Linked DNA regions of Mus musculus. The main gene of each other region encodes a partner of the protein of the gene in region 4 in a complex. Links are inferred from orthologs where the notes say so. Each region holds a gene or a part of one and is shown on either strand. Other genes may lie near its edges. The genes, in order: Stx7, Stx5a, Stx18, Bnip1, Vti1b and Bet1l.

Region 1 (3,990 bases), on a different chromosome or scaffold from region 4:
CTATGATGGACTAATACTTCTAAAAGTTCACAGTGGAGATGATAGGTAGAACTCAGGGGTAGATCAACTACCTGAAATGTGAGGCCTTGGGTTTGATCCCTCATTCCTCAAAACAAAACCACAAACAACCCGGGACAATGATACAGGTCTGTACTCTGAACGATGAGGCAGGTTGCAAGTTCAAGGTCTACCTGGATTACAGAGTGAGTTCAAGGTTAATATCTGGGTAACCTGTGTAGACTTTGTTTCAAAAACAACAACAACAACAACAAAAACCACTGGAGATAGAGGACAGAGTGAAGGCCTCTCATGTCCAAGGACCTTGGTTCAATTTCCAGTGCTGGACAAAACAGCAAACCTCAACAGTTCACCATGGCCCGAGCTGAATCACATGACTTTAAATGAGTACATGTTCTTTGATCCACTGGGTGGATCCTACTGAGAAGACGCTGTGTTTGAGTCTGACCTAAGTCATCTACGTATGCTTGCAGGTGTAAAACCAACCAACATACAGTTTGCTCTGTGGTTCTGATTCACAATAGTATGGATTCCCCCTACCTCCACTTGAAGTCTATCGAACTTTTGGTATCATGTGTTTTCATGCTCTTTCCAGAAATAACACCATCTTAATTATAGGCAAATCCAAGGCAATCTATTCTAATTAATTTGGCAAAGTATTTCTTTCACATGAACAACTGATGTTTCTCATCCGAGAGGTCACATGCTTGAAGAGTTATTGTTGGAACAGTGTGTGCTCTTAAAGCCTGGGAAAACCACATCCTGTATTTCAAGGATGCGATACCAACTATGAGCCAGGAAAACATCTTTATCAAGTGGGCATTAGGAGATTATCTTTCATTTATCCTTCCGGGGCTTTAGCTAGGATTGCCTTGACATTTTTGCAGTGACATTTTAAAAATGGAGTTGTCAAGTCTACCACAGAGCTGAGGGTTAGGAAACAGAACCTTTAAAAGCTGAGAGTGCTCCCTCAGTCCAGGGAGTCTGGCGCCTCCGAATAAAGAACCCAGCTCTTCTCTATTGTATTGCTTCCTCTTCTGTTGCCCATAGACATCACTTTGTCACCCATCAGAGCTTGGCTCCCCAGCAATTTTGCCAGTCCCTCCAAGCTTCAGCTGTCACTGGCCAATGGGAGAGACGCAAGCCCCGCCTCCTCCTTCCTGGGGCTGTGCCCCGAGCATGCGCAGTGGGCGTGCTTGTGCCGCCGCCCATCAGCTGAGACCGGCTGCGCCAGGCAGTGGGCCCCCGGGTGACAGCGGCTGGAGGTGGCCGAGGAAGCCGGCGAGGTCAGGGTAAGAGGAGACTGCAGAGGCGGGGGAGAGGGGGGCGGGAGGGACACCTCAGAACTGCAGCTCGCTAGTGGTTGCTTTGGGGTGCGCAGAGCGGGGCTCCCCAGGGCGCAGGGCCGGCGCCTCCCTCTCGGGCTCCCACGCCCCGCTCCGGACTCCGGGACGCGACGTGCGAGCACCGGGGCGCGCGGCAATGGAGCCTTGGGGACCGGATACTACCGCCAGATCCTGGCAGGCTACGACCGTGTTCCCATTCTCTGTCAACTTCTCCTCCGAAGAACAGAAAGGGAAACGCGATGGGCCCTGGTCATCTGGCCACAGGTTCGTTCCGCGGCCCAGGGCCTTTGCTTGGCTGTTGGCCTTACTCACACAAGCTAACTTTCTTTGACCTACCTTGTGCTCGTTTCAATTGATTTATGCAAGACACATAACAAGGTAACAAGGTATTTCGAGAATTCGCATATGTGTTTTCTAGGTTAAATTCAGACCAAAAAAAAAAAAAAAGCTTGGACGAGGGTGGGAAGAGGAAGGAAGCTTTACAGTCAAATGCTAATTTTTCCTTATAGCTGTTAAAATTTTGCTTGCATTTTATATGCATATATCAATTTTTGATTGCGTCAGATCTCGTATTTTGTCAGGAATTATTATTTACAAGTTTTCCACAATCAGGAAAATAAAAGGAATTAACTGTGAAACACTGGTTTGGTCCTGTTGGAGGTAGGCATTTCTTTTAGGTGTACTCTGAGCCGCAGTGAACAGAGATTGATAACACTGTTAAATTGTGCCTTGTGGTGCCGATGGGTCTTCGGCTTTGCAAGCTGCTTTCGAAGTTGGCCCCCAGGCTTGTGACTAGTTAAGAACGAGGCTGTAGTTTCCCAGTGTCTGGGGAAGTTAATAGAACACAGTATTAACTCACTGACCTCTGGGTTCTTTTCCTTCAGCTAGCTCACTTCTTATGCTGCTCCTGATTAACAGTCGTTTCTAATTCTGATTATTATCCCAAGTTCATCCATACGCTGCTGGTGGAAAATTATGAATAATTATGTTGAGCTATATGCCACTAAATGGTGTGTGCACAAGGCCCTGGTTCAGTCCCCAGTACTGCAGGGAAATATTACCTCTATGTCTACTAGTACTGCTAGATAAAACTCCCACAGTTAAGTCTGTGTGGATTTTTCTCTGGTTCAGTGTAACTTGAAATATTAATGTGTGAAACTGTGGAGGAAAAAAAATCTTGGTTAATTAAGCTGAAACCAAACAGTGTAGCGTTTGGATTGATGAAGGAGCTGGGCAAAGATGCACTTGTGGACCGAATACTCATATGGAAGATTGAGCACCCTCATGATTGATTGTCTCCTATGATTCCTCTCCTGTTTGTTTTAGGAATTGAAAACAAAGAGTGTGAATGCTCCCATCTTCTAAGTATGATGCATCGCTTGAAGTAGAAGTTACATTGATAGAGACTTCTCATTTCAGACCTGGCATCTTTAGTGTGTGATAACACCTTACTGAGACAAAGAGCTAGTCCTCAAAGGGGCTGGGTGTGTATCATGGAAAGGGCCATCTACAGATAGAAAGGGACACTGAGAAAAGCCCAGGTAGCAATAAGCCTGAAACAGTATTTTAGAAATGTTTATATTTACTCTTAGGCTGGGCATGTGTTCATAGGAAATCGGTACACTTGTTCATTCAGACTTACAACATTTATTCAGGATCTACTTTGTAGCCAAGTACTTAGAGAATAGACTAAGTCCAAGATTTACACTCCCCCACACACCACACATACACACACACACAAACACACACATACACACAGCACACACACACACCATACACACACTCCACACGTACACACCACACCCCACACACACATATACACCACACACGCAATACACTGCACACACATACCACACACACTCACACACCATACACACACATCATACACACCACACACACACACACACACACACACACACACACACACACACACAAAAATTAAAACCTGGGGAACAAAGGAGGAAACTCATATTTTATGCTGGGCTTCATGATTAAGAAAGTGAAACTGACCATTTGATTTGAGCAGGCTAAATTTTAAGCCAGTGTCTGCTCAGAGGAAGTCTTCAAGATTCTACAGTATGTCCATTAGTAACTACAGGGTAGTGTTTTACATTCAAGACTCTGTATCAAAATCCCCTTTGTTCATTTTTAAATTGCCCTTTCCACACAGTCTTGAGACAGCGCTCACTATAGGTGTTACTGTTTGACTCTCCCGTCTCCTCTTTCACCTTAGTGTTTATCTTCATAAAAAGATAATTACTGAGCTGTTGAGTTGAACCCTGCCCAGTAGTACTTTCTGTGGGGGATGAAGGGAATATGTGAGCTGTCCCAGCTGCTGGCCACTGGCCACATACAGTTTCTTAGCACTTGAAAGGTGGCCGAGGTGGCCTTCTTCTACCTTAGTTCATTTTGATAGTTGTGTGCAGGCAGTGCAGGTGCACATGAGGAGTGATGTAATTATTTTGAGCAAAGACACTAGGACACAAATGCTTTGAGTATTGCAGCTCAAGCTAGGCAATGCAGATGGTTATAGAGTACAAACATTTTATAAGCATAGAGTTAATTAGCTCACATGTAAAAACAGACTTCAGAGCCATTTGTCAATAACTGTCTATAAACATAAGTG
Region 2 (2,170 bases), on a different chromosome or scaffold from region 4:
ACAGGGTTTCTGTGAAACTTGCTTTGTAGACCAAGTTGGCCACAAACTCAAGAAATTCACCTGCTTCCAACTCCCAAGTGTTGACTGAAACTTTAATGTCAAACCCAAGAGCTCTAGGAAACTTTTCTGGTGTGGCTAGGACTATTGCAGCCTTGGATCCAGATGCTGCTGTGGGAGGGGGAAGCAGATGGGGTGCTGGTAGGCATGGAGCATGACTTGATTTGAAGATACAAAACAGGCTCAAACTTATGGGTACTGTCTTGGAAGTTGCCGCCCAATTATGAACCCACTTAGTCCAAAGGAAAACTCTTATGAAGTGCTGCTGTACTTGGCTACTCGCTTCTAGGGGGGAGTTGTGTGTACAGAGCTCCGGAGCTACCCTGCCTATCAGTAGGGGCCCATCAGAGTCACTGACTTAACCCTTTTGGTTCTGGTATTGGGCAGTGGTTAGCTTTTTGCTGAAGTCCCCCCCCCCCCCCCAGAAATGACATCAACACTAGTGAGGCTGACAGTCTTGCTGTAATTGGGAGGAAATAGGCTGCAGCATGTTTGGCATATTGAGAGTCACCAGTAGCCAAAGTCAGGTTTGTGCAGGCAACTGTAGGGCTCAGAGCCCCCTCACCTCACATGGTGAGGAGAAGGCGGCAGTCAAGTTCTAGCTGACCCAGATGATGAAGTTGGTCCCTTGGATACTTCTTGAGGATTCTTGCCTCTCAAGAAGGAAGGGCGTTTTCTCCTCTTGCTGCCAGTTACGTTTGGGGGAGGCTGGTTATAGGCTTATAAAAATCTCAAGGTGGAGACAACCTCCCCCACTGGCCCCTAGCTGGCTTCTGTTCCCAGCCTCTTCACAGCAGAGTCCAAATCCAGAACCAGTGTGTTTCATGGGCCTGAGGATAGGACAGAGTGGCCAGAGACAAGGGTGGGGAATCAGGGACACTGGCCATTCTTAGCAGTTCCAAGGAAATGGCCTTTCTCCCAACCACCTTGCACAGGCTCAGTGGCAATAGTAGCCACCTGTCCTCCCAGGAGGATCCCAAGCCCTCCATGGAGTGGCTCAGAATGAGGGAGGAGGGTTCAGGCAAGGAAGACCACAAAGATGATGAAGAAGACAATGAGGATGAGGAAGATTTTGACCATGAGCCACCGATTGGAGGTAACTGACTGGAAGTACTTGAGGATCTCTGAATGGGCTGCCTCCACATCCAGCTGGGCTCCAAGCACATTCTCGTCGATCCTGGAGACAGCCAGGAGATAAACAGAAGGACACTGGGTTAAAAAGAAGATTGAAGACATCCATTTATTGATATGGAAAGGTGATTACAATATGTGGAAGTAAAAAGTGTTTCATACTGTGTGAACTTTTTTTGGTTTGTTTGTTTGTTTTTCAAGACAGGGTTTCTCTCTGTAGCCCTGGCTGTCCTGGAACTCACTCTGTAGACCAGGCTGGCCTCGAACTCAGAAATCCGCCTGCCTCTGCCTCCCAAGTGCTGAGATTAAAGGCGTGCACCACCACTGTCCAGCCTGTGTGAACTCTTGTATGTGTGTGTGTATAGACACACACACACACACACATTTTTTGAGGGTAGTAGATCATGCTCGCCTCTAGCTTTAAAACGTTCTTCCAGTTATTAGCTTATGATTGAATTATTTAACCAGTCTTCCACATCTGAAAATTGAGGTAACTGATATAAACCCTACCTCCTTTCATGAAGTCTCAATTTTCAGTGAATTAAATGAACTTCCAATCTAGGAGCACCCCAAATGCTGCTTTACTCATTAACATTTCCTTTTTTTTTTTTTTTTTTTGTAATGAACATGTATTGCATTGTGCTAATTAGTCAGAAAATCCTGGTTAGGAAAATCTTAATATAGACAGGAACTCAAAGGATAATACAACTCTTATAACTAACCAGAGAACATTATCTTGGAGGAACCACTCCTCAGAGGAAGGACAATTTTGAAAACTTACTAAAGCAAACAAAACTTCCAGCCAATCTACGTATGCAATCCTAAAACCCAAATATAGTGGCTGAGTAGACAGCTCAGTAGGAAAGTGTTTGCTTGGCAACCAAGAGGACCTGAATTTGAATTCCAGCACACACACACAGCAAGCTGGCTACAGTCTTAACTGTGCCCATAACCAGAGCACAGCAGGTAAGTATAGAAAGTA
Region 3 (3,500 bases), on a different chromosome or scaffold from region 4:
TAATATGTACCTGAGGCCTCTTCTGCTGGGCCAGGTAGCTCCAACAGGGAAGCAGTGCACTGTTGTCATAGGCAGTGGGGTACTGAGCCCAACACGAGGAGCCATGTATTACCTGAGTTCTTTTCAGAGCATTCTGCTCAGGATCTAGACTGTACTCCACAGAAGGAAAACTAGGACAAGCCAGTATGAAGCAGGTGTGGAGCTTACTCTAAAAGGGCAGTGGGGCTACCTCTAGGCAGTGGGCAGCCCTGGTGCTGTCACACAAGGCCCTGGGAGGTCAAAGGTCTGTCCCTGTCACAGGCCAAGGAGCCTGCCAGCCTCTGCCCCTCAGTCTTCCCCACACCAAGTTCTCTGTCTAAAATGCTGCACCTGGAGATAGGCGGCAGCCGTGGAATCAAAGCGGAGTGTGTCTGAAGCCGCAGAGGCAGCTTCCTCTGCTCAGCAGTTAGTCTGAGTGTCAGCTGCTCCTGAGTTCAGACCCAGGAGGACTCTGAAGTCAGCGTAGCACAGTTGGTCTTTGGACTGGCAAGCATTTTCCTCCCAGAGTACAGTATTTTTCAGACAATCTGCTGGCAATACCCTGTGCTGGCCGACGGGACTGGGCAGGGATCCTTAGAAGGTGGGTGGAAGGTCAAAGGTTCCTTGTTGCCCCTTTCTTGAGTCCCATCTGATATCATTCTGAGTGTGTGTGCTTCTTTGCAGTTTGAACAAGAAAATCAGCGACTCATTGGTGAAATGAACAGCTTGTTTGACGAAGTGAGGTATGTATGTAGCTAGTAGCTTGATGACAGTTTTCCCAGATACTGGGGGCTCTTTCCAATTGCTTTGGCATCCAGGCACCCACGTGTAACAGGGCAGGGCCGGCTGAGCCTGTGGGAGGAGCCTGGCTGCTACAGTAAGCTTGTGGGTGCTGCAGCATGCAGAAAGCACACACTAAAGACAGTCTGTCCCAAACGCAGAACCATAGCACTAGCACGGGGCTGCTTGGGTGGAGTGGCTGTAAATGCAGTGGGGGCCTTGTGAAGGAGTCCTGCTTCCAGGTGACCAGGCTCACACCCACTTGCCAGTGAACTGCAAGCGCCCGTGTTCCACAGGAGCGTGGCAGTGCTGTGGAAGCAACAGCTGAGTCTTTGCAGGACCCCATTCCATTCAGAGTGTGGCCCTTCCCGGCCTGGGACTTACTCAGGGTAGGGGTACTCCCTGGGACAGCCCCAGGGTTATTTTGTCCCAGAGGTGGCTCTCTCGGGCCTCTTCTGCCCATCCACTTGCTGTTCTTCTCCATGCCCTGGTACTGCTCCTTCCATGTCTCCTGTCTGCCCTTCCCATATTTTCTAGAGGGAATCCCTCGCCACTCACACCTTTCTCCTGCCCCTGACCCAGCTGTGCTGGAGTAGGGAAGGTCAGTCTGAGCCAGCTTCCACTCTCAGCCCCTCAGCCCCAGCCTGCCCCATGGTGGAAAGGCTCAGCCAGTGTTTCAGGTTGGGCAAGCACATGATTGCTAAACCAGACGTGGTGATCACAGACTGTACTGCAGCATTGTCTTGCCATAGGGAGCTGGCTTGAGAGAGAAATAATACTTTTTTTTAAAGATGGGCTTTCAAAGTAACCATGCCTTTGCTTCTCCAGCATGTATCACAAGGTAACTAGGCTATGCAGAGGACCTACCATGCCTGCCCAGCTCCTCCTCCTGTCTGGCATGGCTGCCCTTCCTCTTTTGCTATCACTTTAATGTTTCCTTCAGAAAAGTGTACCATTCATCTTAGATTACCAGGAGCTAACAGCTAACATGTCACCTGTCCATTCTTTTTTTGAAGGCAAATCGAAGGGAAAGTCGTTGAAATTTCCAGACTCCAAGAGATATTCACCGAAAAGGTTTTGCAACAGGTAAAAGGATCCAGAGCCCAGCAGTTTTGAGTCTTGACTTAGGACTGACAGAGAGCTTGGAGCCCTCTTCCAGAAGCCTCTGAGTGATGCCGACTAGACAGCACCATGTTCTGTTAGCTAGTCACATCACTCAGAGCACCCTGACCTAGCTTCCATCAGCCCGCAGCAACCCTCTGGGGCACAGCTGAGGAGCAGAGTGGCCCCTGTGAGCTAGAGCATCCAGTGGTACTAGGAAGGTGCAATCCCTCCACACCATCCCCCACCCCCATCTGTAGAAAGGGATGAGACCACAGGGCTGCTGTTGTGTTCACAGGTGAGCACAGAAGCACTCTGCACGGTGCAGAATGGAGAGCTGCTTTTCAACCCACTGTGCTCCAGAAATTAGGGACAGCCTCTCAGCCAGCCCCTGCTGCTCCTGGAGCACAGCTGAGAGGGGGAAGATTGCTCCCCGGTGAGCTTAGGACTAAAACATACCTTCCTCTTCTCTCCGGGACGTTGGCTCACTCACAGCTGCCTGAACCTCACAGCAGAGTTGAGTCAGCATGGATGAGGTAGAAGCTAACAACATTTGGGAGTACACGGTCATAAGAATAAGATTCACAGGTATCTTTTTTAAAAGAAAAAAAAAAAGATTTATTTATTTTATTTATATGGGTACACTGTAGCTGACTTCAGAAACAACAGAAGAGGGCACCAGATCCCATTACAGATGGTTGTGAGCCACCATGTGGTTGCTGGGAATTGAACTCAGAACCTCTGGAAGAAAAGTCAGTGCTCTTAACTGCCAAGCCATTTCTCCAGCCCTCTTCATAAGTATCTTAAAGATCTACCCAAGCCACGTGTGTGAAGGCCATGAACCCTGGAGACAGACTTTGTGCAGACCCTTGGCCTAATGGCCATGTCAGCTGCATGACAGAGGAAGCCATCAAAGCAAGTGAGCTGGCACCGCAGCTCACTTTGGGGAGAGTCACTTTGTCTAAAGCATAAAGCTTTCAGGGTGACCAGGTTGCACTGTGGATACTCCACCCTGTGCACTGTGGCCAGTACTTCTCCTCAGCCCCATTATCTGAAGTACAGCTAGTGCTCCAGGCCTCTCTCTCAGAGCCAGCAAGTAGTACCACTGACCTATCTGGCCCATGGCAGGCCTTTCGGTGGGACTCTGACCAAGCCAGGTAGTGCCCTGCTGTAGTAACACCACATATGCCACCATGAATATGTTCTCTACATGGTAATCCAGTGACATACCCTGGCTAGCCATACAGCAAAGGGAATCACAGTCTTTTAGGCTCCAAGGTCTAGAGGCTGCACCCACACAGCCTGGGAATCGTCACCAGAGAGGTGGGCATCACCCAACACAAAGAGAGGGAAATTTATGGCTCAGAGATATCTACTAGCTTACAGAGGGTCACATACTGTCTGAGTGGCAGGACTAGGATAAGGCTCTTGTCAGGTTGTACAGCTCACACTATCTCCTATCTCTCCTGTGTCACTCACCAAGTGACAAGGACAAATATGAACTGCTGATACTGGCCTCTCCTCTAGCATTGTTTATTCTTTATAAGGTCTAGAAGCCAGCTTCATGATGTTACAGGCTTTGAAACACATTAGCCATACAA
Region 4 (4,195 bases):
GGGATCTCCCTGCCTCTACCCCTTGAGTGCTGGGATAAAGTCATATGCTACCACACCCAGATAAAAAGGATATAGGAAAGCTTGTGTGGAGCTAAAATGCATGTCTAGTAGCTGCGGTGTTAATCAGTGCCTGTAATTCCAGCAGTTCTAGGTCATCCTTGGCTACATAGGTAGCTGGGAACCAGCTTGGGCTCTGTGAGACCCTGCCTCAGAAAAGCAAAGAAAATACTTAGGGCCTTTCACCTGTCCCGTGTGTTCTGTCATCGTCCTCCACCCCCTCTTCCTTCCACTTCTATAGCCTAACAAATCAAGTGCAGCTGCTGGGCAGAAGCATTTCATAGAAAATGGCCGCACGTAGGGAAGTAACTCCCAGAGTGTTTCTTAACAGTACATGTATAGCAACTAGTGAGCACTGAGTTCAATGCTACATTATCAACACCTCATTCCATCCTCTAGGTGACCTAACTTAGGAGTGATGCTACTGAGGAAACTGATTACAAGCCTGGAATCCAGGCCTTTGATACTTGCAGCCAGCTACTGAGCACCTTTTAGGAAGTGGGTGGTACAGGGTGCTTTGGGACAGGTAGGCGTGGAGACTGGGGGCTGTGTGTGCAGTTTGAGAAAAACATTTTAAAAAGAGGGAACCCATATCCAAGACGACAGAGCCTGGAGAATCCCGGAGGGTGGGGGAAAAGTGTCCAGTGGTGTTGAGGGCTTAAGAAATAATAATTTTAAAAAACACTACCCTTCTTTGAGGTTTGCACTGACATTGTTTCTATCACACCACACAGTCAGAACTACTCCTATGAGATACTTGGAATCCAATTCTACACAAAGGGCAGGACCAGAGCCATAGAAATGTGTAAGGACAACAATGCAGGATCATGGTTGTACTAATGGAGGTGCCCCAGTGACCTGTATTTAAGTCTGCACCTTTACAAGTTTTGTGTCTTCCTCCATAATGCATACCTACTGTATACATTTTGCTTTAAATTTTAAAGAAAAAAAATGTAACTTTGGTGACATCCGAATTGATCCTTTTTTTTTTTCCATCCAAAAGGTCACTAGAATAGCGGGTTGTTGTTGTATCTCTAGTACTGGGAACAAACCTGAAGGCCATGTGGCATGCCAGCCTATCATCACCTGAGTTGTATTTTCCCCTCCCCCCCACCCCAACTCTAATGGTTCTTCATAATCACATTCCACTTTTCCGTTTAGTAGGAGCAGACCAGAGAAGCTGTGCGTGTTCTACGTGACAAGAAAAGTTTCAGGTCTGGACTCTTGACCTGGTTTGATCCACACGGGGTCTCCCGCAGCATCACATTTGAAGAAGTACGGAAAGGCGGGCAGGAGCCACGTGAACGCGTTCAAGCTTGGCTGCTGCCGCTCGCCGTAGCCGCATTTCCAACATGGCGGCTCCCCAGGATGTCCACGTCCGGATCTGTAACCAAGAGATTGTCAAATTCGACCTAGAGGTGAAGGCGCTTATCCAGGTACAAATTCTTAGGCTCCTGTCCGGCTCTCGATGGCCGCCTTGACATCTTCCAGAATATTCGCGCCTGGTCCGGTTCCAGGATGGCTCCTAAGGCACCATTCGGTCGGTTCCCCGAGATCACTGACCTTCAGGCTTTTCTTTTGTGAACTGTTGGTTTGCCCACCCCTGAGTTACCCTAACACGCCGCTCCCTTTCCTTGGACTGCAGCCGTGCTGGGCTAGCCCGCCCACCCGCATTCTCGGCTGTAGCCCCGCCCCACCCCTCGCCCTGCTCGCCTCCCACGCCCACTTCCCTAAGTTAGGGACCCTGAGGCACCCAAAGCCACCTGGCCCGACAGTCCCTGCCCGAAGCTAACTAAGTTAACCTGGGACGTGGTTGTAATTTTTTGAACAAAGAATTCAAATATTGTGCAAGATCCTGGGTCAGAAGGCAGGCAGTGCCAGTATTAGGACCTGGATGGGGAAAGCCAGCCTAGGAAAATCATTTTAGAGCTTCCCTACCCGGAAACAGACTGGAAAATGAGGCGCTTATCTGGAAGCAGGTCTTAAGTAGGAGACAGTAGTGCAGGAACACAAGCAAGAACAGGGAATGTAGAAATGGCTCCAGAGTTTGGCAAAAAGAACCCAACCGGCTCAGAATACAAGCTGTGACAGCAAATAAGGAAAGGGTAGGGGTGTGACTCCGCTGGTGAGGACTTTGCCCAGCACTGGGTTCGCCATCCCCAGTGCTGCATAAATGGGCTGTGCCTAGCTGTTGGGGTAAGCTTGGCTTTACTAGCCCCTATAAAAAGGAGCATGGAGAGTAGTGCTCTCTGGTAAGCCAGATGTACACTCTGCCACATTAGCAGTTTATCCTGTGCTGTGAGGAAGTGTTGATTTTGTGAGTAAGCTAGAGAACAGGTAAAGAAACGCCGCAAACTTTACTCCTGAGATGTGCAAACAAAAAAAATGGGCCAATTCTAGAAAAATAAACAAGATTTATACAAGTGAGATTACCAGAGGCTGGGGGTAAATTTAGCTCAGAGTAGAGTTAAAGTTTAGCCATGTGCAAGGCTCTAGTTTCAGTCCTCAGAATGCACATGTAAATACATATACATACATAACACAGAGTTGCTAGGGTAGTGGCTCTAGCACTTGGGAGGCATAAGCAGGACCATCATGCATTTGAGGCCAGCCTGTACTACATAGAGTCTTCAAAAAAACAAAACAAAAAAACCCTTATATCCAAAATTTGAAAAGTTGGGTTTTCATATTATATCATAATATAAAATTATGTAATAGCATCATAATACTTCATATTATCATAGTTTCCTGTTAGGTAGGCCTCTGGTGACATATGTGTTTTGGGTTCTTATGGTTACTAGTGAGTAAGCATAGCCCCATACATTGTATTCTTTCAGTGTTCCAGCTATTCTGCTAAGTGTTCTACACAGAGAAATACCATCTTGACGTAGGTAAGGTGAAGAAATGGAGGCACAGAGAACTGAAGTTTTCCAAGACTGCACTAATAAATTGCTATACGCAGGATTTGAATATATGTAGCTTAAGTCTAGAACCTGCTCTAAAATTTGGCTCTCATAATTCTGACTTTCTTTCCAGAAGCAAATTCTCAGTTCATCTTTAAACGTTTTTGACTTGCGACAGATGGTTTGTAAAAATCAGACTAAATTAACTTTGTTACAGGTCACTAGGGATTTAGTTGGAAGGATCTGAACTTACAGTATTTTTTAGATGTCTATTTCTGTTGAACATGGAAGCTGTTTAAGCCTTTCCTAGTGGCACTTTGTTAAACATCTAAGACGAGGTTGAGGTTTACCTATCTACACACACAATGCATATGGAGTCTATGTGCATGCAGGGGTGTGTATTCATGTCTGTGTGCATTTGTGCATGCGTGCACATGAGTCTCTCTCTCTCTCTCTCTCTCTCTCTCTCTCTCTCTCTGTGTGTGTGTGTGTGTGTGTGTGTGTGTGTGTGTTTTGCTGCTGTTGAAAGCCAGGGCTCCAAGTATGCTCTGCAAGTGCTGTACTACTGAACTGTGCATCCAGTCTGTTTATTCATATTAGGCTCTCGGTGTTAATCTTACAAGGAATGAGGAAGCTGAAAATGAGGAGTTTGCTCTTGTGTGGAGGAGAGCAGCACTGAGCAGGACAAGGTAGAGCTTGGGCCACCTTAGCTGTGTCTGAATCTGCTTTCTCACTGTGCCGATGAGGACACTTCATTTCATTGACGGGAGAAAGGTCCCTCATCTCTTCCTTGCCTTCCAGGATATTCGAGATTGTTCTGGACCCTTAAGTGAGCTTACTGAACTGAATACTAAGGTGAAAGAAAAGTTCCAACAGTTAAAACAGAGGATCCAGGTAAGTGAGGCTACAAAGCCTGTTCTGGAAGGGTGGGTAGCAGGGGTGCGTGCTCTGGCCAAGAAGAATTTTTGCCTGAGAGTTGACCAGGTCCTTCACATGCCACCTGGAGAGAGTAGGAAACATTGTGACTGTGAGGGTGACTGGACTAACAAAGTTTGGAACCTACACACTCATTCATTCCCTACTTGAGTCCATTGCCAGAGTTTCCTTGGTGTTTCCGGTGCTATTATTTTGCACAGTAGTAGCCTCCTCCCGATTTCTGGAGTTACCGCCCCCACCTCATGCTCATGACCTCACTTTCCCTGTGGTGCGAGTGTTGTCTCAAAACACAAATGAGA
Region 5 (4,015 bases), on a different chromosome or scaffold from region 4:
CTCTGTCTTCCAAGTGCTAGGATTAAAATTGAACAACAACACTCTTGAACTACCTTTTAATTTTATAAGAAAAATATTAAGACTTCGCACCACTGCTAACAACATCAGACTTTGTCATCCCTGCACACTGCGTTTTGTTTTTATTTTTTCATTGAATTTAACGGTTGGTGGATTCAAGCTTGTAAAACCCAGGGCTTCAAAGACAAAAATCACCAGGAACCCACTCCCACACACACCTTAGAAGATGGACTATAGGATTTGCTTATGCTAGATAAGTGTTGTACCCCTCGGTAACACCCTTTTATATATATATATATATATATATATATATATATATATATATATATATATATATATATATATTTCCATGTATAAATATTGAATCACCACGAAAACTTTTGTGAGTGGGCCCTTTGTTGGAAACCCTGCCAACAGTATACACAGGGGTTTATATCTATGGAAGGACAGAAAGGACTTCGTAATTGTTGATATATTTCACATAAGGGCAGATAAGATGGGTCTGTCTTCCACACCAAATCATACATTACCCAAGGGCAGAGACAAAATTACTTTGATCAATATATAACTTTGGTTTATCAAAATGTCTATTCTTAACATGTTGTGAATGAGAACCCGGGGCAGCCTAATGGTCTGGACTGGTTCAGCCGCTAAAAGCTGTGGGTATTCTGGGATCACACTGCCCATTTTCCGGTTCTGAAAACATGTGACCCTGGCCACTTAATCTCTCCACTTTTATTAGAGTTATACCATCCGAGGGTAGGCAGGCCTCTGCTCATCTATCTAGGGCTGAGACTGAACATTTAGACGGGATATGAAGTCAGGTGGCAGAAGGAACTGCGATGACAGCGAGGGGCGTGTGCTAGCCAGTCTGCGCAACACCGCTGGCACTCCGGGCCCTCCCTGCACGGCCGTCCTCCCTCACTTAACTACAATTCCCAGTATGCACTGCAGGACCGGCGGGCCCGGATGAGGCGGCCGAGGCGCCAGTCCCGCGGGCTCCCTCGGGCCCTTCCCTTTGGTACCTCCTCTGTGCCCACTGTTTGTCTCCAGGTCGGAGCCACCGGCTCGTCTTGGCGCGAGACCGCGCCCCTGTAGTAGCTGAGTGTCGTCCCCGCCCCGGCTTCTTGTCAGGCTTTGGCGCCCGGCGCCCGTGCAGTGACAAGCAGGGGGAGGGCGTCCGGCTCCGAGGACCCCGGAAGCGCCTGATTCCGGGAGGCCGAGGTGCGGCTGCAGTGATGGCTTCGGGGCTGGGCAGCTGATTGCTGAGGTGGGAGTGGGCCCAGCGCCCGGTGGCCGCAGCTCACGCGCAACCTGCGCCATGGCCGCCTCCGCCGCCTCCTCCGAGCATTTCGAGAAGCTGCACGAGATCTTCCGCGGCCTCCTTGAAGACTTACAAGGGGTGCCGGAGCGGCTGCTGGGGACCGCGGGGACAGGTGAGGCGGGGGCGGGACCAGGCCGGGAGGACTCCGCAGGGTGCAGGATCCCAAACACCGACCCGGGGCTCCCCGCTTCCCCTTTGGGCACGCCCCCTGCTGCTGTCGGGCCCCGGACGCCCAGGGTGTGCTGCCTCTTGTGGTGACTGGGGGCGTGCAAAGGGATAGACATTAGGATGTCCTCTCCTAGCGAGCCTTTAGTTATCTTCCTCTCCCAGTAGCATAGGGCATTCTTCAATCTGTGCTCCTGTGACAAAACAAAAAACAAAAACAAAAAACAAAAAAAACCCTTAATTTGGAGTTGGGCATGTAGGAGTTTGGCATTTTGGTAGGCAATGAAATTTTAAAAATAGTTGTAACCATGGAGATTAGCTTATATGTGAGACAGTGGCGGGAGGTGAGGGGAGGAAGACAGCTACATTGGAGAGGAACCGGAAGTCTCACATTTAGACTTTTTTGACGTACTAGGGTAAATCCTTAAGGAACATAAGCAGCGGAGTAATGTGGATTTCATTTTAGAAGCAAGGCGGCGGATAGCTGGATAGAGGATGTGAGAATGGCTATAAGAGACTGTGTTAGGAGCTTCTATGACAGTTGACTGGGTAAGCATGCGAATCTGGAGAGTGAGCATTAAATCCAACAGGTGGTGCCGAGATTTATGAGACTGGTGGATGTGAGGAGGAAGATTGAGAAGGGGCCGTGTCTTCTCACGTGATCAGTTGAATGAATGAACTTAAATAAGAGGCGCATACTCGTTTGAGCTGGAGATGAGAATGTCTACCTGTGCATTAAAGATAACAGTGTATGACAAAATATTTTTCTGCCATTCAAGAGATTGCCAGTGGTGAACACTTTTAATCCCAGCACTTGGGAGGTAGAAACAGAATCTCAGTGAGTTCAAGGCCAGCCTGGTTTTACACAGCAACACAGAGTTCCAGACCAGCTAGATTCTTCTATCTTGAGACTCTATCAAAAATTAAAAAAAAAAAAAAAAAAAAAGGAAGGAAGGAAAGAAAAGAGTTCTAGAGTCAGATTATCTAAGTTACATACACCTTTTATTAGCTATGTGACTTTGCAAGTTATTTTAACCAAACTAGTTTCCACTATAAAGTAAAACGTAGCATCTGACTTCATGGAGTTTTTGTGGGGAGTAAATGAGATATGTAAAGCTATTAAAAACACCGTCTGGCAACAGTAAGAGCTACCAGCTATTATTAATATGTGTTTGTTGTTTTATTTAGAAATATTAGCTCTCTACACAGTTATTCTTAGGATGCTCTTTTTGCTTGCTTGTTTTTGTTTTTTTGGGTTTGTGTTTGTTTTTCAAGACAGGGTTTCTCTGTGTAGTCTTGGCTGTCCTGGAACTCTCTCTGTAGACTAGGCTGGCCTCAAACCACCTGCCTCTGCCTCCCAAGTGCTGGGATTAAAGGCTTGTATTGCCATTGCCCAGCCTCAGAACACTATTTTCTAATGTACTCATCACTTTGCATATTTATGATACAGTGTATTGTTTTTGTGTTACTAGGAAAGTAGTTTGGAATTGTAGTCTGTGAATCAGCCCATCAACACCATCTGGGAACTTGAGAACTGCACATGCTCAGGCCCCATTCTGACTCACAGAATCCAAAGCTTACGGCAAGCAGTCTGCCTTAACTACACTCGAGGGATTTCTAGTGCTGGCTTAAGTTTGAGAGCCAGTGAACTGGAAATGAAATAGTATTTTTGTTTGTTGTTTGTTTGTTTGATCGTTTAGCATGTGTCCTAAACTCCCTGGAACAGTACACAGCACATCCTAGGTATCTGACAAATATTTACTAGATATGTTTGGGGTGGTGGTGCATACCTTTAGTAGCACTTAGGAGGCAGAGGCAGGGAATCTCCATGAGTTCAAGGCCAGCCTAGAGTACACAGTGAGACCCTTTCTCAAATAAACTACATATTGTATTTGTTAAATTATTGTAAAAATCAATTTTTGGTTGTTAAAGGTCTTAGAAGGTCTATGAGGTCTTAGAAGAAAGTACCTGGGTATTGAAGCAGAATAATTTCTCTTTTTTTTTTTTTTCACATTTTCATTACTCTTCATATTGATGTATATACATTGGTTAAAACAACCAGAGTGAAAGAGATACTTATTTCCCCAAAGTATAGTCTGTATTCTCATGGCCCTTGAAGGGTAGCTGCCACCATGTATCCTAATTTAGGAGGGTTTTGTGGCAGTAACAGTTTTACCATGTATGGTAAGTATTAGCCTAATTATAGCATTCATCACCTACAGCTGTAATTTCTTATCTTGGCTTTGCATCATCTGAAGAGGTTTCTCTAAAGCCTCAGAAGGGATGGAATTTTGTCATCTGATTAATATGTTAAGTGCTAATAGTTATTGTTTCAGGTTTTGGTTTTCTGGTACTTGGAGACATTTGTCCTTGTGATAAAATTATTGACAGTTTTCCATTTTAATTTGCTTGAAGTCCAGTATCGATACCTGAGACCTCAGTTTTGTTTGTTGTGTGTATACATGTAGAGCTCAGAGGACAGTTTATGCTTTCTTGTTTTACTGCATG
Region 6 (4,147 bases), on a different chromosome or scaffold from region 4:
CCTAGCCTCCCATACACCTGCCCCACCACACGCCACCACAGAGCCACCCGAGGGACCAGCCCACCACCCACCGCCGTGCTCCCTGCCACCACTCGCACGCACACCCCAGCCGAGTTGCGCGCACACCCCTGCTTCCTCTCTTCCTGAAATTTCCTCGGCAGCCGGATGCCTCTCACCTCCCGGTTGAACGACCGCAGAGCTTCTGTCACCGCATCTTCCTCTCCGGTCTCCAAGGCATCCGCAACTGCCCGGGGCTCCATGGCCCCTGGCACCGGGTGCTGGAAGGCTTGGGCTGGGAAGACGCAATCGGCCAAACCCCGGGGCTCCGCCCAGGTCCGGAAGCCCGGCGTCCACGCGTGAGGGATGCTGGGAGAGCAGCCGAACCCAAGGGTGTGTACAGGCGCCTCCGACTTAAGGTGGAGCAACCCGGCTGTGGTCGCTGAGCGGCTAGTCTTGGAGCGGCGATGCTAGCTAACCAGCCAGGCAGTGTCCTCCTTTTGAGCCCTCCTCTCTAGCCCGAGTTCCTGGCAGGCGGGGGGTGGGGTGGGATGGGAGGGTGGGGAGTGGGGTGTGGCTTGGCCCGCGCGTGGACCGTCCTCTTTACGCTCTTGTCCCCGTACTGTGATAAAAAAGGGAGCGCCGGCTCCTGGCCGCTTAATCAGTTGGGGAAGACGATTCTCGCGATCCAGGCCTTGGAGCTCATCTTCCATAGGGAATAGGGAAAGAGAAGTACAACGACTTGGATGGTCAAAATAATGCACGTGGTTAGCCGGGCATAGTGACGCACGCCTTCTTAAATCCCAGCACTCGAGAGGCAGAAACTAGCAGACCTATCTAAAAAGAATAGCCACCAAAGTAATACGGTTATTCTCAAGAAAATTGCAGAGAAGGAAGTGAAGAACACCCGTGGAAAAGCCACTCCCGCGAGAGGAGCAACGGAGGGGCGGCCAGCCGAGGCGTGTCTGAGGTTAGAAGCGTAGGAGCGCTGTGTAGCGGGGAGCCAGGTCCGCACGCCACTTAGCTGAGTCGGTGCCCCACAGTGACACATACAAACAGTGCTCCAGTGGATGATGTCACCCGCCGTGCTAACCGGCTCTGCCCCTACTCAGTGGCAGGCCCCGGCCGTCTCCTTCACCAGTCTCTTTCGGGTCTGCCTGTCCTCCCCATCCAGTTGGATTTAGCAGCGCCAGAGGCATCCGACTGATTTACTGAGCTGGTTCCTAGCCTCTGCTCCAAATTTGGGTCTGAACACCTGCTCCGAGTAACACCCACAGCGCAGGACTAATATTGCTGACCAATCCGTGGGTCCGAATGCTGGTGGCCCGCCCTTCCCTTATTTACATTCCCGAGAAGCACTCCAGGTCTGTTTCTTCCGCTTCAGAACCTTCTCCCGGAAGTTATTAGCCCGGAGGCGGAACCGGAAGACCCGGGTACTGGTGCCACGTCCGTTGCTGTGCTGCGAATTCCCTGAGTGGGACCCTGGAGGGCGCGATGGCAGATTGGACTCGAGGTGAGAGCACTTGAAAGGCAGTAGAGGTAGGAGGGGAAGTCTAAGTCTGGAGCTGGAGACATCGCTCGTTTCTCGGTGGAAGGACCTGCGTGGGGTGGCGCTTACGTATCCCTGGAAAAACAGGGCCGGATTTCGCCTGGCGCTGCCTTGGAACCCAAGCCGGCATGCCATCAGTTTTGTGTGTGGTTGATGCCAAGAGCTGGAAGCAGAGGGTCCAAGCAGGGTTTTACTAATGAGGGGCCTGAGTGCCTCGGTTCACACACATTCCCCGCCCCCGTGCCTGTGTTCAGTGTGACAGTTGTGATACTGATGCTTCGCCCACAACGATGACTATGCAGTGGTCGGTAGGACACAGCCGTCTGTCTTTCAGAGTCTGGTCGCACTTGTTTGCTGGTGCTGCTGGCCTTCCCCTTAGGTGGGTCACATCGAGGCTGGGTGGGTGGTTTTTATGCTTCAGATCGGTGCTAGTCACACTTAGGGGGGTGATTCTCAACTACCTGTCCCTGTCCATCGGAGTTAGGTTTCCACGAGCACAGTGCTCTGGGCATTCCAGAGATTCTGTGTGGGTTGCAGACATAGGGCGAGGTAGTTTCTACAGTAGAAGGACTTTCTTACACTTACCTTGGATCTGATTTCCAAGTCCTCCCCACACAGCCTTCCTGTCACCTGCTGTGCCACCGGCTGTTCTGTTTTCCCTATGGTCCCTATCAGAAAGTACTGTTTCCCTTTGAGACCGGCCCCACACCCTCAGATGACAATTTCAGCTAAGGCAATATTCACTTCGGTTCAGGAACAGTATACAGCAGGGTCGTGTATGTAGATTGATTGGATCTTCAGGCTCCCCAGCCCGTCCTTGCCTGGGCATGCACACAGGTTCTCACACGACCCATGCTACATGTCTGATGTGTAGGTGGTCAGCCTGTTGGAGCATAGGGTGGGACGTGCTAAGTTAGCAGAAGTATATGGGGGAATGCGCTTAGATGTCTCCACTGGAGTGAGGAATCAGGGACCACATGTCTGAGGGAATGCTATCCTTCCGCCTCTTTCTCTCACAGCTCAGAGCTCTGGTGCTGTGGAGGACATTCTGGACAGAGAGAACAAGCGGATGGCTGACAGCCTGGCCTCCAAGGTGACCAGGCTTAAATCGGTCAGTGGTGGCCCTCTTCCCTTCCGTGAGATACTTTGGTGGGTGGGGCTGAGAGGGGAGGAAGGAGGCCGTGTGCTGTCTGTGGGCATTGCTGACTGGAGAAGTGCTTCAGGTAATAACTTGGCCTTTTTTTTAGCTTTCTCTGGTAATAGGTACTTTTCAGAGTCGTGGGTAAAATGTAGCTGGTCTGAAGGGAAGGTGGGCACTACTCTCTGTGGCTTTGCTTGACGGTGCCTTCTGTATCCCAACCAGCTGGCTTTGGACATCGACAGGGACACAGAGGACCAGAACCGTTACTTAGACGGCATGGTAAGTGCCCGCGGTACGGGTACGTACAAATCATAGTCAGCTCCGCCCACCTGCCGTCTGCTCTGCTGGGTCTTCGCTGCTAGTGTGGTTGGGTAGTCAAGGGTCCCAACTCTATGTGACCCTGTTGGGTCTCTCCCACAGGACTCAGATTTCACAAGTGTGACTGGCCTACTCACGGGGAGTGTGAAGCGCTTCTCCACGATGGCACGGTCTGGGCGAGACAACCGGAAGCTTCTGTGTGGTATGGCTGTGGTCTTAATCGTGGCCTTCTTCATCCTCTCCTACCTCTTGTCGAGGACAAGGACGTGAGCCAGTGGGAGCCAAGGGCAGCCAGGCTCTTGTACACCTGGCATCCTGGTTTCCTAAGGACCTGACTACAAAAAAAAAAAAAAAAATCCCTTTGAAATTATCATCATGGGTCATTCATCTTCCTAAGTCAGGACGACTGCAGCTGCCTCTGTCATAATGAGCTCATCTTGGCTTGTCCTGTGTATGAAGGAAGAAGAAAAAGGCAAAAGCCAATGCCACTCCCTGGTGCTAAAGACACTGGCAGAGCCAGAGCCATGTTGTGTGAGATCAAGCCAGGTCTATGCAAAGCATCTGTGAGTCCCAAATGGGCCCACTGTGGCCATCGGCCACACTCCTCAGAAGCCAGGATCTTAAGGGCCTTCTGGATTGCCCTAACCTGTTTATGCCTGGTTTAAACCCGTGTCTGTGTCCTTGAAGAGTCTGAAACTGACACCAGAAGGGAATATGGCCGTGAGCCCTCTCCAGATGATGGTCATTGGCTGAGGCTGCTGATGAGGAGTGGACCTGGGCAGGCTGTACCCACCAGTCACTGGCAAGAGGCAAAGCCGTGGATAGAGGAGTGGACTGCAGTCCAGAGGCACTGGACTAAGATCCTTCTGGGCCACAAGGCCAGGTGTCCAGGAGCACAGGCACAGATGTGTGTGTCCTTGGGATTGAGAATCTTATCAGTGTCAAAGATGTCTCCATCCCCAGACAGACAGACAGAGAGCTGTACCAGGTGGCTTTTCAGAGCCAGGCCGTGCTGGGGTGCTCTCTCTGCTGGGGATCCTTATGGGGCCGGAGGCCACCTAGGAAAGCATTTGTGTAGTGGGAGCTTTTGACCTTGTACTGAACCTTGCCCTACCCTGTACAGCCAGTCTCCCTCGGTGTGA

The links.
Region 1: Bnip1 (region 4) and Stx7 share a complex: the UniProt entries of both Homo sapiens proteins name them as parts of the SNARE complex. The link is inferred for Mus musculus from reciprocal best matches to the Homo sapiens genes BNIP1 and STX7.
Region 2: Bnip1 (region 4) and Stx5a share a complex: the UniProt entries of both Homo sapiens proteins name them as parts of the SNARE complex. The link is inferred for Mus musculus from reciprocal best matches to the Homo sapiens genes BNIP1 and STX5.
Region 3: Bnip1 (region 4) and Stx18 share a complex: the UniProt entries of both Homo sapiens proteins name them as parts of the SNARE complex. The link is inferred for Mus musculus from reciprocal best matches to the Homo sapiens genes BNIP1 and STX18.
Region 5: Bnip1 (region 4) and Vti1b share a complex: the UniProt entries of both Homo sapiens proteins name them as parts of the SNARE complex. The link is inferred for Mus musculus from reciprocal best matches to the Homo sapiens genes BNIP1 and VTI1B.
Region 6: Bnip1 (region 4) and Bet1l share a complex: the UniProt entries of both Homo sapiens proteins name them as parts of the SNARE complex. The link is inferred for Mus musculus from reciprocal best matches to the Homo sapiens genes BNIP1 and BET1L.

The regions. Positions count from the first base shown.
Region 1 is NC_000076.6:24,148,099-24,152,088, forward strand, and holds the start of Stx7 (syntaxin-7), read left to right. Parts: upstream 1-1,190; 5' UTR 1,191-1,310; exon of another isoform or gene 1,311-1,628; intron 1,629-3,990. UniProt on the Homo sapiens protein: May be involved in protein trafficking from the plasma membrane to the early endosome (EE) as well as in homotypic fusion of endocytic organelles. Mediates the endocytic trafficking from early endosomes to late endosomes and lysosomes.
Region 2 is NC_000085.6:8,753,973-8,756,142, reverse strand, and holds the end of Stx5a (syntaxin-5), read right to left. Parts: intron 1,355-2,170; exon of another isoform or gene 1,235-1,354; coding exon 1,075-1,234; 3' UTR 501-1,074; downstream 1-500. UniProt on the Homo sapiens protein: Mediates endoplasmic reticulum to Golgi transport.
Region 3 is NC_000071.6:38,126,230-38,129,729, forward strand, and holds part of Stx18 (syntaxin-18), read left to right. Parts: intron 1-702; coding exon 703-761; intron 762-1,814; coding exon 1,815-1,884; intron 1,885-3,500. UniProt on the Homo sapiens protein: Syntaxin that may be involved in targeting and fusion of Golgi-derived retrograde transport vesicles with the ER.
Region 4 is NC_000083.6:26,779,684-26,783,878, forward strand, and holds the start of Bnip1 (vesicle transport protein SEC20), read left to right. Parts: upstream 1-1,395; 5' UTR 1,396-1,409; coding exon 1,410-1,493; intron 1,494-3,583; exon of another isoform or gene 3,584-3,649; intron 3,650-3,761; coding exon 3,762-3,854; intron 3,855-4,195. UniProt on the Homo sapiens protein: As part of a SNARE complex may be involved in endoplasmic reticulum membranes fusion and be required for the maintenance of endoplasmic reticulum organization. Also plays a role in apoptosis.
Region 5 is NC_000078.6:79,169,659-79,173,673, reverse strand, and holds the start of Vti1b (vesicle transport through interaction with t-SNAREs homolog 1B), read left to right. Parts: upstream 1-1,215; 5' UTR 1,216-1,339; coding exon 1,340-1,454; intron 1,455-1,973; exon of another isoform or gene 1,974-2,056; intron 2,057-4,015. UniProt on the Homo sapiens protein: V-SNARE that mediates vesicle transport pathways through interactions with t-SNAREs on the target membrane. These interactions are proposed to mediate aspects of the specificity of vesicle trafficking and to promote fusion of the lipid bilayers.
Region 6 is NC_000073.6:140,853,584-140,857,730, reverse strand, and holds the start of Bet1l (BET1-like protein), read left to right. Parts: upstream 1-1,347; 5' UTR 1,348-1,491; coding exon 1,492-1,510; intron 1,511-2,565; coding exon 2,566-2,657; intron 2,658-2,909; coding exon 2,910-2,966; intron 2,967-3,107; coding exon 3,108-3,275; 3' UTR 3,276-4,147. Other genes in the region: Ric8a (synembryn-A), read right to left, coding at 177-260. UniProt on the Homo sapiens protein: Vesicle SNARE required for targeting and fusion of retrograde transport vesicles with the Golgi complex. Required for the integrity of the Golgi complex.